3 linked regions of the Schizosaccharomyces pombe genome follow. The main gene of each other region encodes a partner of the protein of the gene in region 2 in a complex. Each region holds a gene or a part of one and is shown on either strand. Other genes may lie near its edges. The genes, in order: atg17, atg101 and atg1.

What was found.
Region 1: atg101 (region 2) and atg17 share a complex: the UniProt entries of both Schizosaccharomyces pombe proteins name them as parts of the atg1 kinase complex.
Region 3: atg101 (region 2) and atg1 share a complex: the UniProt entries of both Schizosaccharomyces pombe proteins name them as parts of the atg1 kinase complex.

What each region holds. Positions count from the first base shown.
Region 1 is NC_003424.3:1,224,192-1,231,045, reverse strand, and holds atg17 (autophagy-associated protein kinase activator Atg17), read left to right. Parts: upstream 1-2,224; 5' UTR 2,225-2,394; coding exon 2,395-3,630; 3' UTR 3,631-3,766; downstream 3,767-6,854. Other genes in the region: caa1 (aspartate aminotransferase), read left to right, coding at 1-258; protein-S isoprenylcysteine O-methyltransferase Mam4, read left to right, coding at 976-1,686; rio1 (RIO family protein kinase), read right to left, coding at 3,767-5,007, 5,110-5,235, 5,321-5,447; psm3 (mitotic/meiotic cohesin complex ATPase subunit Psm3/Smc3), read left to right, coding at 6,210-6,224, 6,268-6,854. UniProt on the Schizosaccharomyces pombe protein: Autophagy-specific protein that functions in response to autophagy-inducing signals as a scaffold to recruit other ATG proteins to organize preautophagosomal structure (PAS) formation.
Region 2 is NC_003424.3:2,525,298-2,530,264, forward strand, and holds atg101 (protein Atg101), read left to right. Parts: upstream 1-2,660; 5' UTR 2,661-2,740; coding exon 2,741-2,804; exon of another isoform or gene 2,805-2,856; coding exon 2,857-3,347; downstream 3,348-4,967. Other genes in the region: histone demethylase Jmj1, read left to right, coding at 620-2,014; mug105 (ubiquitin-fold modifier-specific protease), read left to right, coding at 3,788-4,522; protein meu29, read left to right, coding at 4,841-4,967. UniProt on the Schizosaccharomyces pombe protein: Autophagy factor required for autophagosome formation. Component of the atg1 kinase complex in which it stabilizes atg13. Is also responsible for recruiting downstream factors to the autophagosome-formation site. Has a role in meiosis and sporulation.
Region 3 is NC_003421.2:847,996-855,234, reverse strand, and holds atg1 (autophagy serine/threonine protein kinase Atg1), read left to right. Parts: upstream 1-2,552; 5' UTR 2,553-2,630; coding exon 2,631-2,732; intron 2,733-2,794; coding exon 2,795-5,185; 3' UTR 5,186-5,402; downstream 5,403-7,239. Other genes in the region: dolichol kinase Sec59, read left to right, coding at 1-584; thg1 (tRNA guanylyltransferase), read right to left, coding at 5,606-5,749, 5,803-5,907, 6,004-6,304, 6,366-6,601. UniProt on the Schizosaccharomyces pombe protein: Serine/threonine protein kinase involved in the cytoplasm to vacuole transport (Cvt) and found to be essential in autophagy, where it is required for the formation of autophagosomes.

The sequences.
Region 1 (6,854 bases), 1.3 Mb from region 2:
TCTAGAATCATTGAGATGAGGAAACGTCTTCGCGATTCTCTTGTTGCACTCAAAACCCCCGGTTCTTGGGATCATATTACACAACAAATTGGAATGTTTTCTTTTACCGGTTTAACGCCTGCACAAGTCCAATTTTGCCAGGAGCGGTACCATCTTTATTTCAGTGCAAATGGTCGTATTTCTATGGCTGGTTTGAACAATTCTAATGTAGAGCATGTTGCACAGGCATTTAACCATGCTGTTCGCGAGTTGCCTTAAACTGATTATTAATACCAAAGTCACATAGATAAGTATTGGATTCATGAATACAGAATTTTGGATTGTTGTAAATTTGACGAATTTAGGAACAAATTCTTTAGCAATTTAGAGAACTAGTATATGCATTTATTCTTTGAATTTTTGAATAATATGAAGTTATCTGTTCAACTCATACACCGGGACTTCTCCTTTGTGAGTTAGACATCAGTATTTGGCTCATTATTTGCAAAACAAGTTGATATCAGTTTGTAATCGGATATGTTTAGACAAAACTGAGAAAGAGTTCTTTTTTAATAATTCATAACTTGCAAATTGATTAATGACAGAGTATTTGAATTCTTTGTTATATCGAGGTTTACTACATTAATATAATACAACTTTTAGCAACTATTAGAGCCAATACAAAGAAAAGAAGTCAAAACTTAAGTAATACAATATGAGTATGATTTTCTTTGTTTTACTTCCCTATTGTGTCAACTATAATTTTAAGCAGGAAATTTTGAAAATATCCTAATAACTCGAAAACCAGGCTAAAGCAAGGAATATCCCTCTTTGCATAAATTTTATTTCTTCTCGTGTCTTTCCTCCAATAATTAATAATTATAACATCTCTAAATGTGTATGAGTTAGTTTGTTAGGACATTTTGACTCAATAATTCTTCTCGATAAATTTAATAAAGAAAGTTGAATTCACATACCTGAATTTAATATACAATCATGGGGAATTTACATACGTCAATAGCTGTAGCATCTATTTGCTTAACCAGCGCCTTTCTTGGTTGTGTTTTTGGTTTGGGATTTTTCGTATGGATTATATACGGATATAGTATTGGAGGTTTTTTTGCATTTCTGAGTCTTTTTCATCTATTAGAGTTTTACATTACTGCTCGTTTTCAAGGTAGTCAGTTATCATGGGATTCTTTCATATTGAATAATGGCAAAGCCTACTGGTTAGCGATGTTAGTCGGCCTTTTAGAATGCTTATTAAGTGGCGGAAAAAGTTTTGCTAAGGTAATAAATTGCTTAAGATTTCCGAGCTTCTTAATCAACTTTATATTTTCGGTATATCAGACATCTGCTCTGGGATTTCTTTGTTTGGGACAATATCTACGATCCTCTGCAATGGTACAAGCCGGTCAATCTTTTTCTCACATTGTAGCTAGTAAAAGAAATAAAGATCATTTGCTTGTCACTGATGGGATTTATGCTTACGTTAGACACCCATCATACGTTGGGTTTTTTATCTGGGCTTTGGGCACTCAAATGTTGTTAGGAAATTTTGTCTCAACATTACTATTTTCTCTAGTTCTTTGGAAATTTTTCTCACAGCGAATTACTACCGAAGAAGCTTACTTAGTTAGTTTTTTTGGTGATTCTTACGAACAATATCGAAAGAAGGTCCCATCTGGAATTCCCTTAATTCCATAGGTTCACTATTATTGTTATTTGAATAGTTGATAAAAGCATACTTAAATAATTTGTATCATCATCAAAGCAGCTTTTAAAGGTCTGACTATACAAATCTCATAACAAATTATTTTTATAGCCTTTTTCTCCTTCAAGGCTAATAGATATCAATTGTCCAAATAACAGCGCTTTGTCTTGCAGAATTTTAAAGATGTTTTCGTAGCTCCGCTAAACATCGAAGTGCCATTAATATGATCAGCTAATCTGAAATTTTCTCTTAAAAAATAATAGTCTGTTTACTTTTGAACCACAATAATTCTGAAAAGATTTACTGCTTAATCATTACTATTCATAGCTATAGTACTCTTAACAAACATTTCTTCTTCTTAGTTTTCGTTTATGGTTTTAACTATATTATAATTATCGCTTCAGTCAACTTTATGTAAATAAAGAAAAATAGCGAAAAACAACTGCAATATTGTGCAATTTATTTGCTGTAGTTCGCAAGCTCTCATTAATATGTGCTACATGCGCTCACTTGCTATATTTCAATTTCGCCGCAAGCATACAACTCTGCTTCACAATCAATTCCTTTGTATTAAAGGTCCTTTTGAAAAGTTTGTTGGCCGATATATATATAAATATATATCTATCCTTATATATCTATATAGTTTCTTTTCCAGTGGAGTGCATACAAGAGGAATACAGTTTTACCGCGTGAGTGCGGTGATGGAATTGTTGCAGCAGTGGACTCAGCAAGCCAAAGCAGCTCTTACTCAAGCCAGGCAACTGTGTGGTGATGCACATAAGTTTAATGAAGATGCAAAAACTGATTTGAGAAATTCCATAAAGCAGCATCAACAGCTAAAAGAGTTGGCGAAGCTCACAGCATCTCAATGTACTCGTTTAGACTCTTCAACAGCTCTTATTAAGCAGTTATTAGATCTAGTTCAAAATTATCCAACATTTAATCAATTAAACGTCCTTCATGATCGATTGGAATCGTCACTTAAACGTCTTCGTGACTGTACATTAGATCCAGCCTTAGGAAGCGAATATACCAATCTTTATGCATTTGTAGATGATACTGCATTAGAAGATTTGAAAACCAGGCTCCGAGGCGTAACTGATGGTGTTTGGAATGCTTTCGAAAAGCTAGCGGGTTTACTGGAAGAAGATTTGTGTGCCAATTATCATAAACGTTTAGAAGCTGTTTCATTAGACTTCTTACCTCCCGCTTATAACGATACTGCCGAAGAACTTGCGGATTTGCTTTTGCAAGTTGCTCAACATTACGATCAATGCTCCGAAGCTCTCAATATTTATGACACCCTTTCTGATGCGGAGAAGAAAGATCTCCAAGAAGTGCTTCAATCAGACTCTAATCATGTTCCTTCGGTATTGACAGAACTTAGGAGTGGATTAGATCAAACAATTCATTATTTCAACGCAGTTCAAAGTTATAAGTCAAAGGTAGATTCGGCAACATCGATTTTGGAAGCCTTGGCTGAGGAGTTAAACAAAAACCAGTTGACTAATCAAAGGCATGAAGCCGCGCATGAGTTAATGAGGGCGCAAACCGGCCTGGAGATTCCGCAATTAGCTCAAGAACTCGTGCAGCTTGAAAGACATTACACACATTTTGCTAAAGCGTATACCGCTCTCCTTCAGGAAATTCACAGACGACAAACCTATGAAAATTGTGTAAGATCCATTGTGGACGAATTTGTGGGACGCCTGGAGAAGGAACAACAGGCGGAGGCGAAATGTCGTATCGATTTTTTCAATCAATATGGTGATTATTTACCCCAGACTCTATGGGGAGCTGTAACAGATCCTCCTTTACATTTTGAAATTATAGAGCACCAATATACAGAATTGCCAAACGTAAAGGTAATTCCTGATAAAAACGATAAGAAATCGAAGCAACGTGAAAAATCTTCTACTACAGCCTCTAAGCGATGACCCTGTTAGCCATATTTTACGATTTTTAAAGTCTATAAACGTATAATGATTTTAGTTATGCTACTAGTTTATGAGTATTGTATAGACTTTTCCAATAAAGATAATTATATAAAATAACCGTAATTTTTTCCCCTGATTACTTTTTTCTTCCAGATTGTTTTAGTTTGCGCTTCTTCTCATACTTCGGAATCTTGGATTTTCTTTTCTCAGCCTTATCTTCTTTGGTTTTTTTTTTCCGTGCCCTCTTCTCCTCCGGTGTCTCCTTTGCACGTCCGTTTCCTTTACCTTGTTTTGCAGATGATTTTGAATCCGAAGTCCGTTCTTCTTCATTTTCCATACTACTTATAGAATTTGCATCATCATCGCTCTCCGAAGTCTCATTTGGGAGGATTTGATCGTTTTGATTTTTTGTAGTGTCATTTAAATCCAATTTTTGAAAGTCTGTATTTAATAAGTGCTTATATACAAGGCTATTAACACCTCCGGCGTTTACGATTTCAGTATCTCGATCAATGTCGTATACCTCATCTAAAGTCCGAGGAACATAAGTTTTTAAGAATTCCTCTTCGTATTCTTCTGTAGTAGGTTCTTCCTCATAAATTGCATTTAACCGGGTTTTCATGGCTTCCTTTTCACAACTTCCTTCTTCAGTAATGAATTTAAATAATTGAGGTAAAGATAAGCAACCAGCATTCAAACGCCTAAAGAATGTAGAAATGTTTAAAATATCCATTCTTAAAAAATCGATGCTCTGCGGGTGGTCATGTTCAACCGATTGTGATACATCAATAAAATAAACTTTACCTTTATGATAAAGTAAATTATATTCTGACAAGTCAGCATGCACGAGATGACAAACATGAAACAAAATACGCATATTCCGTGCTACAAGCTGATATAATTTAGTAGCCTCACCAGGCGTCATATCTATATCCTTTAACTTGGGGTATGCCCATCCTTTCTTGTCCCCCAGAAACGACATAAGCAAAACGTGCTGCTTCAATAAGATTGGCTCTGGGCAAGGAATACCAGCAGCAGCCACACGCTTCAAGTTTCTTATTTCTTTTTCAGCCCATAAGCGTACCATTTTTCGGGGATTGCGCTTGTTATACCCATGACGAAAACGAAATTCTCCAGAAACATAGCGGTCACGATCCTTAAATACTAAGATTGAAGTCTTATAAATTTTTATAGCAAAATGTTTACCATCCTCGTTTGTTGCATGATACACATTTGCTTCCTTTCCCGTGCTTATACAACCATTAATTTCTGATATAGTTCCATTATTTATTAATTTTAATAAAATCATTCGAGTACGGGGATCCAGCACTTGTTCAGATGTAGCGCGGTCACTTTTATCCTTGATAGATGACTTGTCTTTATTTGTCAGTACTATTAAACATGAAAATGTAAAAGTGTGAAGGATCAAAAGACCTCGAGTTCTAAAACCTATGAGCAGTTAAACTATATTACACTTACCCTCTGCCTCAAACCTGTCATTTAATTTTATATTATTCACATAACGACTAAGCGTAGAAACGTGATCATTAACTGAATTGATCTTAGAAGAATTATTCCCAAAATTTTCCTGTCTAGCAGAATAATCTAGTAAAAATGTTATTAATGATCATGAAAAATGGTAACAAAAATTCATGCAAAGTGCTTTTGGCTATTCAGTATATGAACTTACTTGAAGAAGCTTGATTCCAGTCTATATCGTCTTCCCTAAAGTAATCATTGTCAGAGCCATCACTAAAGTCGCTATATTCTGATTCTTCTTCATTTGTCTGTGCATCGTTTTTTAACTCCTCAACCATCTTAAACTTTAAATAAATCAATAAAAGAATAATTTATTTAAAAATTTGACAAAGAACTGGATACAAATCCAAGTTTTTGTATTTTGTAGGTGGTAGTAAAAACTTTTTGTTGTAAATAAAACTGGTATATAAAAATGTAAGAAGTTAGCAAATTATGATTACCATAAGTTACAAGATGATTTTTGCAAACCAATGATTTTTTTTTTAATTTAGTGGATTATATTTTTTCCATTCTTCGATCAATAAAATATATATTACATTTCCAAAAGACATTTAATGTTAGTGTGAGCGGCTTTCCTCATTAAAGCTTGACAATAAAAAGTCAGATAGAAAAGAAACAATACATAAGCTCATATATGCATTTTTTTAAATTCATTACTGAAACGCTGACGCTCAAGAGCAGCTTGCTTATTTAACACTAATGCATACTTGGCATCTAAAAAATCACATACTCAATTAAGCTAGCGCGCTTTCTACCAATTTGATTGTGCATTCCCAGTAGTTTAATAAAGAAATATTATATTTGGAAATTGATGCGGCAGTAAAGAGAAAAGCAAACGATCTTCAGTTAATACAGTTTCATATAGAAAAAACATAACAAAATCAACATCAACAACTCAAAGAATTTCTCATCTTGGTTAGTATGAATGAATTATTATGTTGTAGATTCTTAGAACTCTGTTACCACAAAGATTGATACTTACACGCCATAAAGAAGACACGCGACGCGTAAATACTTTAACCCAAACCAACCACAAATCTATGTATATCACAAAAGTAAGTAAAGCATTATAGAACCCCAGTTAACTGATTTATTAAGATTGTTATTCAAGGGTTTAAATCTTATAAAGATTATACTGTAATAGAGCCTTTAAGCCCTCACCACAATGTAATTGTGGGACGAAATGGATCTGGTAAAAGCAATTTTTTTGCTGCAATTCGATTCGTATTAAGTGATGCGTATACACATTTAAGCCGTGAAGAAAGACAAGCTTTGCTGCATGAAGGCCCTGGTGCAACTGTCATGAGCGCATACGTTGAAGTTACGTTCGCTAATGCTGATAATCGATTTCCCACCGGTAAAAGCGAAGTTGTCTTGCGTCGTACAATTGGATTGAAAAAAGACGAATACTCTTTGGATAAGAAAACTGTAAGCAAGACAGAGGTTATTAATCTTCTCGAGTCTGCTGGGTTTTCAAGATCCAATCCTTACTACATTGTTCCTCAAGGAAGGGTCACATCCCTAACCAATGCAAAGGATTCAGAGCGTTTAGAACTTTTAAAAGAGGTTGCAGGTACTCAAATTTATGAGAACAGAAGAGCTGAATCCAATAAAATTATGGACGAGACAATTCAAAAATCGGAGAAAATTGATGAACTTTTGCAATACATTGAAGAACGGTTGCG
Region 2 (4,967 bases):
TTTAAAAAAAAAAAAAAAAAAAGATAATAATTATCATCCTTACTTCCTCGAAAGTATAGATAAATCTTTGCGTTCACATTCAGTGTATAATCTAATGTTTACCTCTGTGATTCTTATTTAACTTGTAAACCTTGGTACGGGCATATTATCTCGCTCGTTTCCTGAATGTCTGAGTTTAAATGATAGATATCCGATTTCTGCTTTATTTTTATTTTTATTCTTGCATTCAGTTAAATAAATTAATTTTATTATTTGGTAGTTTTCATAAACTTTTGGCAAACAAATACACACTCCAATAAATATACTCACTCTCTGTAGCGTAAGGAGTACTCACCTTATCTGACTATCTGATGCTATTTTCATATGAAAATTGAGGTCAGACGGTAAATAGCATTTTCCATTCTTCTTATCCCTTCTTTTTTTTTTTTTTTTTTTTACTTAACACCAACTTCGTGATGTCGTGATCCATCATCCATTTATCCTTCCGTAACCTCAGTCAATTTATCATCGTCATCGTATAGCTACACCCGCTGGTCATTTTACTAGCGAAAAAACAACATTTTGTTACGTAAATTACATATACACTTTCTCCACTAAATGAATCATCAAGTTCATCACGATGGTGTATCGTCCCACTGCTCATGAGTTTGACGACTTACCGAAAATCGAGTTCATAGATTCATGCCCATACCAGGTATTCCTTGAGCAGTATCTAAAACCTTGCGTTCCCGTACTTATTGGACCGAAGCTTACTGCTCAATGGAAAGCAAATACTACGTGGATAACTAGTAAGGGTGATCCTAATATCCTGCATAGTTACATTCTACCTGACAAACCTTGTACTTCTAGAGACAACACTAGTGGGAATTCACTACTAAACGACAATGATATAAAGAATTTCATTAGGTCATATGCAGAAAGGATTGTGAATAATGAGGATAAAAATGTGTTTTTGGATTCGTTATTGTTATCGCCAAACTATGAATACTTAGAAGAAAATTACGGAACGATTCCTGTACCATTGGCTTATTGCAATGAAAAAGATCGTTATGGATCTCAACGTCGTGAAACAGTTCCCTTGAAGAGTGCACTTCATGAACTTCGCGATGAACAGGTCCAACTACAATGCCGGCAGGCTCCAAGTAATCAGGCTTTGAAATCCTTATATGCCAAGGATATGCACTTGTTTCGACATCTAGACCCTGCCGATTTTCCTTACAGTACTCCGGACATTTTCGCCGACGACTGGTTAAATGCATACGTGATTGATTGTGAATCCGATGATTTCCGTTTCGCATATTTAGGTAGTCATTTAACGACTACTGGCCTACACACCGATGTCTATGCTAGCCACTCCTTCTCTGTTAATCTCTGCGGTGTGAAATGCTGGCTTTTTATCGATCCCAAAGACCTTCAAACGATTGCCTCCCTTTATGATGACCAGCAATTACCTTCATGGATCACAAAAGATGATTTATTTAGAGGTCCACTTGTAAATCATCGACATTTGATAAAAATTCTCTTCCAATATCCTGGACAAACAGTGTTTGTTCCAAGTGGTTGGTATCATCAGGTTTTAAATATTGGAACTACACTCTCTATCAACCATAATTGGTGTAATGCATCTTGCATTTTACAAATGTACACCGCATTAAAAGAGCAGTATGAAGTTTCCGCAGAGTCTCTCAAGGATTTGCTGGAGGATGGAATCGTAACAAAGGACAGATTTTCTCAGGTTGTTACAGAAGTGGTGGAAGCAAACTACGGTTGGTGTTGGCGTCGATTTTGGGGTATGATCAAACATCAGCTCAAACGAAGGGATGCAATATTACATAGTTCTGAATACTTCTCAAAATGGCCCATACAACCTGAGTTTCTTCCTCCATTATCATGGGAGTATTCAATTTTAAAAAATATTTTACTAAATGATGAGCCCGGCAGCACCTTCGATTCTGGTTCTCCTCCTTCATCGATTGTCACGATCTTTAAATCTCTCGGTGATTTTAAAGAATAGTACTACTCATCTAAACTCCTTTTAAAATGATGTTTTTTTCATTCTGCGTCTGCTTTCTTCAATTTTGCTTACGTCTTTGTATCATTCTCATGCAATGGTTTCCCCAGACAAATACCATCCATATAATTAGTTTACCAGTAATATAGATAGATTTAGATATGTAAAATAAAAATTAAAAAAATTACTTTAGTAAACAATATCCGAGAGATGTTGCTTAAGTTATAAATTTATAATTGATGTATGCTGTAAAAACTCTTAAGACACTGGTGTTTACTTTAATATACTAAAAAAAATTATTTAAAAAAATCACTATTGATAGTTCAGGTTAAAATGTTGATTTTCTTTAGAGCCAGGTCTTCGGAAGTCCCTTCTTGCATTTTGAACTCACATGTGTTAGTAGGAAAATAAACATTTACAATTATCTATCGTCATATATAATTCTTACAATTAATCGTTTTCTAGTTTCAAATACTAAAAATATTTAAATTCACAGACTAATTGGATAATTAGATGTTTAAAAAAATGTGGACGCTTTGCAATGTACAATGCAGAAAGTGTTTATTTACATTGAGATTCAGAACGAGTAACACGTTACCTAAAAAAATTGGAGGACCCTATATATGCACGAACGTAATGTATTTCACTTGATTGACCAAGTTCAAAGTTCAATGCAAGTATCTTAGTTTGCATTCCTCAATTTTACTCTTCCAAAATTTTAGAGATTAAATGACAAACACGGTGACAATTGAACTGAAAATTGGTTATAAGTATGCTGCTGAGGTTGTAAAAGGTAAGTCAAATTAGTTGCTGGAAATATTACATATCAAAGTCTAATCCTTTAGCCGTTTTAGGTGTAATTCTATTTCATAGACAGTTTTCTACTGTTCCTGCTAGGACAATTGACGTTTTAGACATTACGGTTCCTACTCTGGTTGGTGCAGAACTAAATGAACAACTAGCAACTAAAGCGGCGGAATTTATTGATACCATTCGAAATGAGGCTGGTGCAAATGGTCAGATGATTTTACTGTTGTATGAAAGATCGCCTAAAAAGTCTTGGTTTGGGAAGGGAAATACAATTCCTTGGGAACAATGGATCTTGCACACTACCATTTTAGAAGAGGGTGACTCTTATCAAGAATCTTCTTTATCTCTAGAGGCAGCAGTTGAGCAAATTGTGCAAGCAGTTAACCTTCGAAGCCTTTCATACCTGCCCCCAGTTGCTATGGATTCCGGGAATTACCCGTATGAAATTGTAACTCCTACTTCAACAGAAGGTTGGGGCTCACTGCTGAAGCGAATGATTATAGAAAACGTTAGTGGAGGTGATTAAATCAAATCTCACCAGGTTTGTACTTCAAACTTGATTTCTCATTCAGCATTTAAAATTCTTCATTCACCATACATCTATACGGTTTGGCGACGCAAAGCTCCATATGTTAACATGTTGCTGGAGAATTATGTATCGATGGTATATTTACATGCTACTTGTAATCCTTTCGCAATTGATTATTTTGGACTAATGAAACTTGCATGCGTTAATATAGTACATTCGCGCATGGGTTATAAGAAAGTTGGATTTAGGACGGATGCTGTGCCATTTATATCATGACTTTAATTGACAGCCATAATTTTTGAAATTAGCGTTTGTACTTTCCAAAGTTGTTTTAACAAAATGACCGGCGCATTCTTAATCGACTTTTAGCTTACCGAGATTTAACGTGTGAATATTTTTTAAATTTACTCATTTCTTTTTACATTTCGAAATTTACTATGTCAAAATGCTTGCAGCAGCTTAAACGACAACTTCAGCATTTCGGCATAGATGGATGCTCATTAGCAGATGGTGACATCGATTATTTTTTCACAGTTACCGGTATTGATCGTGGATGGGGCTGTGGTTGGCGCAATATACAGATGTTAATTTCCTGGCTTCAATACACCAATCCAAATTGGTTTAAACGTAATTTTAGTAGTGGAAATTATGAAATCAATTCTTTGCAATCGTTGTTGCTCAGCGCTTGGATGAAAGGTATAGATGCCGAAGGTTATGCTCAATTAGGAGACAACTTGCATGGTAAATGGATTGGTGCTACTGAGGTTTATAGCCTATTTACCGGGTTGTTTGTCAACGTCGCTTTAGTAGACTTTGATTTCAGATCTGAAGCTTCTGCTAGCAATGCACTTTTTCTTTACGTTAAAAAACATTTTGAAAGTTCTAATGATACAAGCAATGTTTCTCCATGTTATTTACAATTTCAAGGGCATTCTATCATTATCATTGGGTTCTGTTCTTCTTTAGAAACTCTTGTTGTGCTTGATCCAGATCGTTATCAGAGTGTTCAAAAAAAGTTTGTGAATATTGCGGACTTTAATCACTGTTATATGCGAAAAAAGCGATCTTTGAAATTCTCACAATTTCAATTGGTACATTTTAAGCAAAACATTTTTTTAAATGATTTCAGTTCAAAACTGGAAGTTCGTTCTACCAGAATTTCGGACTTTTAGCTGTCCAAGCGCTGGTGATGTTTTTCATAATATTTATGAAGGCCGTTTCCCCATATATTAATTTATAGAAAAAGGAAAAACTGTTGAAAAATAATAATATATCTGATTATTCTCTTTTGACTTACTACTATGTAGTATACGTATATTTAAAATTGTTGATAGTTTCTCATATTTTCATATAGCGACATTGTTATTGAATTTAAAATTTGTTGTTTTGCGGTGAATTCGGTGTTTACATCGGTATATCCGACTTTGGCTTCCGAATGTGGATAAAGGCTAAAGTTGTTACCAAAAGTAAACAACTACCAGCCTTGCACAATGTTTGTTGTCAAGACTGCTGTATTATTATTCTTTGCATTATTTATTGGAAATACTTATGCATATACTTATTCTCTGGACAGAATTCAAGCATTAAAATTTAGTTCTGAATCCTCCAACGTTGATG
Region 3 (7,239 bases), on a different chromosome or scaffold from region 2:
ATCATGCTTTGGTTGTCTTTTTATTTCTTCCGGTTTGTTGCTTAGATCCTCATTTTCTCCACCTGTCTTTTTCGGGAGTTTTATTCATATTTCTGTTTGTTGAAGGTATACGCATACTTCGTCTTAAGCCATTTGGAAAAATGATCCATGAATTTTTATGGGAGTATACCGATAACAGGGATCACAAGGGCCCCTTGATTATTTCCCATATATATCTTTTAATTGGTTGTGCAATTCCTATTTGGCTTTCGAATGCTTTAAAAGGTCCTGTTGCGTCGGTTGAATTACTGGTTGGTGTTTTATGTTTAGGGTGTGGAGATTCTATGGCTAGCATAATTGGGAAAAGGTTCGGAAAACATAGGATCTCAAAAACGAATAAAAGTATTGAGGGGGTATTTGCCTTTTCAATCTCAGTGTTTCTCGTTTTACACTTGACGCAAGCTTTTCATGTGTGTCCTTCAGTAACGTTTTGGAAAACGCTGTTTATGTCCTTATGTACGGCCATTTTGGAAGGTGTCTCAACGGAGAATGACAATCTCATACTTCCAATGTACATGTGGGTATTGTATCAAGCCTTGGATTAAGAATGTTTAATTCCATAAAATATTTTGCAACATCAAAGTAAAATATCTCATAACTCTGATGCTTTGCAAATGACAAACAAAAGAAAAATACATATATGTGCTTATATATGAAAAAATAAACCAAAGATGTAATTCTTTGCATATTCTCTTTGTTACTAATTCGACGTAAATAGATTTCCTTTAATAAAATAAAAAGAAAAATTTTACGTATTGCCAGGCCTATCATTAAATCATAATCACCTTAACAACAGCATCCACTGAGAATACTGTTTACAAAAAACCAACGTGAGCAAAAAAAAGATGGCAGATGTGACTATGAAACGAATAAAACTAAAACGGACTATAAATTTCGGTAAAAATGATATTACAAAATATATGTATATATAGTTTTGCTATTCAATCAGTCATATATTTAAAGGTAATTGACTATTACAGTTCGCATATTTAGGAAGATCAAAATATTCATTTATTGAGAAATGTATAACAACGAGTATCTGAGCGGATATCGTGGCACAATTTTAAGTAGAATAGGTTGCTTCGAAACGAACAGTATATTATTTTTGCTTGCTTAAAATTAATTAAACAGTGTACGACTCGGAGCATAAGCATTTTAATTCCATTTATTAATTTTCCAAATTTCCTAGAAAATAATAGATTAAAAAAAAATTCATTAATTTATTTATTGCTACAAAATCAAAATTTTGATTAACTTATTATTTTTACTTTATTTTTTTTTATTTTTTGTTTCAAACTTCATTGCAGTATTATTGGCAACAAGCACTTATATTCAGTTTCAAAACTTTTTTTATTTTATATTCTCGAATTAATTTATTTATTTTATTATCACGCAAATACAAAATTAAACTATTCATGGTGAGAAGGTGAATTTTTTATAACGTTGCTTGTTTTCAGTAGCGTTTTCGCTAATGTTGACTTTAAAGTCTGTTTTAGAAATTTGGATTCCACAACCAATCTCGTATATATCAATAAAGAGAAAAGCAACATATTATGATTGGAAATTTTCTTTTAATTTTCTGCAAGAGAGTTCTTACCTTCCATTATGGTCTTCAAGTCCTCAGGGCATGTTTGAATACTAGTCATTGCCCAATTCCCTGTTTTGTAGTATTATATACATGCGTTTGAGCCAAAACTCACACTGCATAAAAAAAATGATATTCTTTTCTTCAACCATAAATATTATTATTTAACACAACAAATGTCTACGGCCATACCTAGGCGAAAACACCAGTTCCCGTCCGATCACTGCAGTTAAGCGTCTGAGGGCCTCGTTAGTACTATGGTTGGAGACAACATGGGAATCCGGGGTGCTGTAGGCTCCTTCTTTTCTTTTTTTTTTGTCTTTTAAATCCAGTTTACTTTTTTTTTTTATATTATTTCTATATGGCATGAAACTGGTACAGTGGTACAAGTTGTACATCTGCCGCCGGTTTTTTATCCAAATTTACCCTCTATTTACACTTGCATTTTCATCTGCCTCGATCACTCTATCCATGACAATCGCCTTTTCCAACTAATTTGCCTTTTCGCGGGTATCTACGCTTCGTCTGGAGTATTATCTACTTCCGTTCTTATCCTCTAATTCCACACACACTTGCTTTCCGTACTCAAATCGGTAACTGACATGGCAAAAATTAACACATTTATTTCGTCTTAACCCACTTTCGGCATTTTTCAGCTGCACAAAAAGGGAACAATTTCAAAGAATTTAGACACTACCAGCAGGTATATGTGTGTAAAATATTATAATTCATTGAGTTAATACAATTTCCTCTATAAACTCGCATTCTATTCATAGTGCTTACTCCCATAAAACTTGTTATCCCGAAACCATATCTCCTGTTACCTTTTACAGCCGCACCACGATCGCAATTTATTTTAAGGTATTAAAGCCCAGTGCGGAAAGTGCCTTTTACGCAGCTATATTATCAATGGCGACCCGCTATCCTTGCCAACTCCCATGCTATCAAAGTGAGTATAAAGGCAGCTAAAACCCTTACACCTGTCTTATCGTGAACCAGAAGCTGTATGAACTTACAGACGAGTACAAATCAAACAATTGGTCCCTATGTCATTCGATCGGAAATTGGACGTGGATCTTTCGCAATTGTGTATAAAGGAAAGCACACGGTAAGTAAAAGAAGCAACTGCTTGTCTGTTTCAATGGAATTTGGTGGCTAATCGTGTTGCAGGAAACGAATCGAGTGATCTCTATTAAAAGCGTATTGACAAAGAAGCTTACTAAGAAACTTTTGGAGAATTTAGAAAGTGAAATTTCAATCCTTAAAGAGATCCGTCATGTGCATGTTGTGGAACTGATAGACTGTATTAAGGCTGGGCGGTTCATTCACCTGGTCATGGAGTATTGCTCCCTAGGAGATTTGAGTTATTTTATTCGAAAGCGAGAAAAGTTTAACAGTATTCCCTCCTTAGCCTGGATCAACATCGATCATCCGCCAGTTTACAAGGCTGGATTGAATGAGACGTTGGTTCGGCATTTTACCCAACAACTTGCTTCTGCACTCCAATTTTTACGATCGCGTTCTTTAATTCATCGAGATGTCAAACCCCAAAATCTTCTTTTACAACCACCACCCACCGCTGCCTATCTGGAAGAGCATCCCCAGTTTGTGGGAAGTCCCAAGCTACCAATGCTTAAATTAGCAGACTTTGGTTTTGCACGTTACCTTCAAACGTCTAGTATGGCGGAAACTCTATGTGGCTCTCCGTTGTATATGGCGCCCGAAATACTTCGTTACGAGAAATATGATGCTAAAGCCGATTTGTGGTCAGTAGGTGCTGTGTTATACGAAATGGCTGTTGGAAAGCCTCCCTTCAAGGCCCCAAATCATGTCGAACTTCTTAGGAGGATTCAAAAAGCTAAAGATGTCATCAAGTTTCCTGAAGAAGCTTTCATTCACCCGGACATTAAAACCCTTATCTGTGCTTTGCTGAAGCAAAATCCGGCTGATCGTATCGACTACGACGGTTTCTTTTCCAGTATTGTTGTCACTACTCCATTAGATGACGCATCTACTTTGACCGGTAGCGATATTCAAGATGCGGTTAAGGAAATAAACATTCCATCTTCTAGTCCTGCCTACATAACCGATTTTTTCCCAAAAAGTAATCCTGGCGCTCCTGCTCCTCCAGGCGGTTTGTTGCGTCAAGCTTTCCAAGCTCAGGGGTCTAGTATTCAGCCCTCTGAAATTACCGGTCGAAGGGTGCCTCATCGCTATGCACAAGATGGAAACACTTTACCATACACCCCCGTGTTTCCTCCTGAAAGTGCTCCTGCTGCTAGCATTTTCCCTCCTCGATTAACCTCTAAGCAACCTATACCCATGGCATCTCCTGCTAAGTTGACAAGTGATACTTCGAACAAAAGTAGCGCCTATGTCGTAGTGGACCATCATCCCATAATCTCTTCTACCCAACTTTCCAATGAAAGCCTAACCCACGAGCAATCAATCAATGGTAACTCGCCTTCACCAAACGAAGGTGTTTTTCAAGGTAGTTTCTCTCCTGAAAGCGCTCCTGTAAATAATCATGCGTTTCCCCATACTAGCCGGATGCAAATCCCTTACATGAAACCCAATGCTTTCCCTTCTAATCCTACCTACATTGCTTCAACCCCAGTCACTCAACTACGTCGTGCGTTTGAGCAAGCTACAGCACATGTACCTCAATCTGGAGGTGGTGCGCGAAATAAAAGCGCTCTAGAACGAGCACTAAATGTTGCAAACGCTAGGCTTAATGAAGTTGTAGTGGATGGTATGACAGATAATGGAAACACATCCCTTCCTACAAAAGAAAGCAATTTGGATAACAATGTCAACATTATCCAACCTTCCTTACCTGACACCGGTAAAAGATTGCTTGATGTTTTAGAAAGTATAGCGATGAAATCAAACTCTGTCTACCATCTGGCTGAAGTGAAGCTTGCTCAAATTATTCCTTCTTTGTCTGATGAAATGAAGCCTGGAGATACACTCTTGGATAGACCTTTGACTCCTTTTTCATTGGTTATGTTAGCCAAGGAATCGTATGTACTTTATGAGAGAGACATTGAGCTGTTACAAGTGGCGTTTGACGGTGTTGCTGCTTTTTGGGCCAACTCTGAAGAACGTGCATCTCCTGATTGCCAACAAGCCATTGAATGGTTTCGTCAAAGGTATTCAGAAAGTCTTGAGAAATCCCAATTTTTACGTGAAATTATTATTTCTCAAAGTGCCGCACATTCTTTGCCAACTACCAAACCTGTGTCAGCTTCTCAATTAATTTATCATAGAGCATTGGACCTATCCAGAAATGCAGCCACTAGTGAACTGTCAGGAAATGATGCACAGGCTTGTTTACAAAATTACCGGCTTGCAGCACATTTGTTGGAGTCACTTCTTGAGAGTAATTTTTCGACTCCAGACGGTGCTAACGATTCCAATAATTCAGTAACCATAAGAAATTTGATTGCTTTGATAACGAAAAGGCAAGAACTTTTACAATCGAAACAAATCCAGGCTAATGTAGCCAACAAAGTAACAGAAAGTGTTGCGAAAATAACACTTGCCCCCAATCTTGCTTGAACACCGACGATTTCGCCCTTTTATTGAACAAATTCGCATATTGTATGAGCTGAGCTCTGAGTCTAAATTTTGTTATGAATTCGTTGTTATGACCATATTATTTATATAACTTTTTAATATAGACGTTTTTAATTTTGCTTTTTTTATACATAGGGTTGATAGTCCCGTATATTTAACTCTTATTTATTGAGGTTTATCTCTATTCAAATTTCGTGCATATTATTTTTTTTCTCTTAAATTTTTCAAACAAGTAAAACAGCTATTTAACGTATCAAGGCAAGAATCTAGTACTTTTTTGATTTCCAAAACAAAGATTTGTTTTATACGGCCTAGAGCTGATGACTGCATGAGAGAAACAATTAAACGAGTGATAATGTTTTTGTTCAAACGACCCATAATTTACAAATGTGTGAAAGGAAATTATTGTAACAATACCTCAAGAAATGGCCTTGAAGTCCAAAAGTCATCGTCTATCAGACTTACGTGAAGGATAGATAAAACCATTTTCTTCTTTTGTTTTACGGAGAACTTTTTGTCTTGTTGATGCCATTCTTGATCAATAGGCTAAATTAAATAAGTAAGCAAAAATTAATTTAAACAAAGTTTGTCGAGCATACCTCACGAATCCAAATCGAGCCCTTTTTGTATATCTCTGGTTCAAAATTATAGTTGATGCCGAATTTTGAGAACAAAATTTCATGTTTTTCTGCGCTGACGGTACCCTGTAAAGTAATTCACCCAAAAGGTGAAAGTGGTTAGTTTTTATTGAAAGGAAGATAAATCGCTAGGGTTTACATAAAAAAAAATGAGCTACTTACCTTTAGGTACTCCTCGGCTTGAGTGTTTGTGAAACCTCCTTTGAGTATTAACATCCAGAAGGTAGTATTGTAAAGGTTATTAATATGACAGTCTACTTGTCGCCAATGCAAATAATCTCTTAATACTTTCATATTAGGATAAAGTACAGCTCGTCCATCAAATGAAGGGAGTGAAAGTAGTGGAATGTCAAAATGTTTAGGCCAATTGAAGACAAAAGCAGATGTAAATAAAGAGCAGACATGGCTAACAAGCTTACTCTCGCGCCGTTCATACAATTCGGTACTCTTAGACCAAACAAAACTTCAAGCAGAAAGGTTAGTTTATTCGATTCATGAGCTTATTATTCTGTTTTCATGCATACCTATACTCATCACTATCACCATAAGCTAAAACGATGTCGGTGAACTCAGACATGACTACGCGAGCTGCTGCATTCATTAAATTTAGACATCTCAAATCATTTGGCTTCTCAAAATCATGTTTCTTTGTGAACTTATGGAATCCTTTGCCATCAATTCGTATTACGATATAAGTCTCAGGTAGTAAACGATCCAATCTTTCGTATTGCTTCACATATTCAAACCTTGACTTGGCCATCCTTTCATAACAAATTATATGTATAATATAATGTAGCCCCGACCTTTTTCCATGTAATTTCCTCAAAAAGCCCACCGAAAATGCTTCGTTTGAAAATGTGAATTTCCTAACCAACCTTGAATCATAATTAGCGATAGATTATCGTTCGTTATAATTTTTAGCATATTGGATGGCAAAAAATGCCATGTCTCGTAATTTATTTTTTTTATTAAGATAATGTTATATAACTTGAAATATGCTAACAGTGGATGAAAAGAAGCGATTATATATTTAATAAAAAAAAAAATTACAGGCTAGCTTATTAAGAAAGGTGATATATCTTTACCAGCGCATTGCTAGTCTTGTTTACAACCACAATCGGCTTGCTACTGACTAAGGATGATCTTTTCCGCATTTCAATAGAAATCTTAGAGAACACGTATAGTATTCATTTATTCAGATTTGATCTGCTGCTTAATCATAACAGTTAAACTTATATTCATATTTACTATATAGTGAATAGTAAAGTATTAGTTAACTTGGATTGCTAGTGAGGTTAAGGCATATCTCCTTAGGGAACATTATATCCATTCAAAAATTATAAATTGCTAGTATGAAAATAAAGCCTTTAAGGAATCAAAAAATTTATGGAAACATTA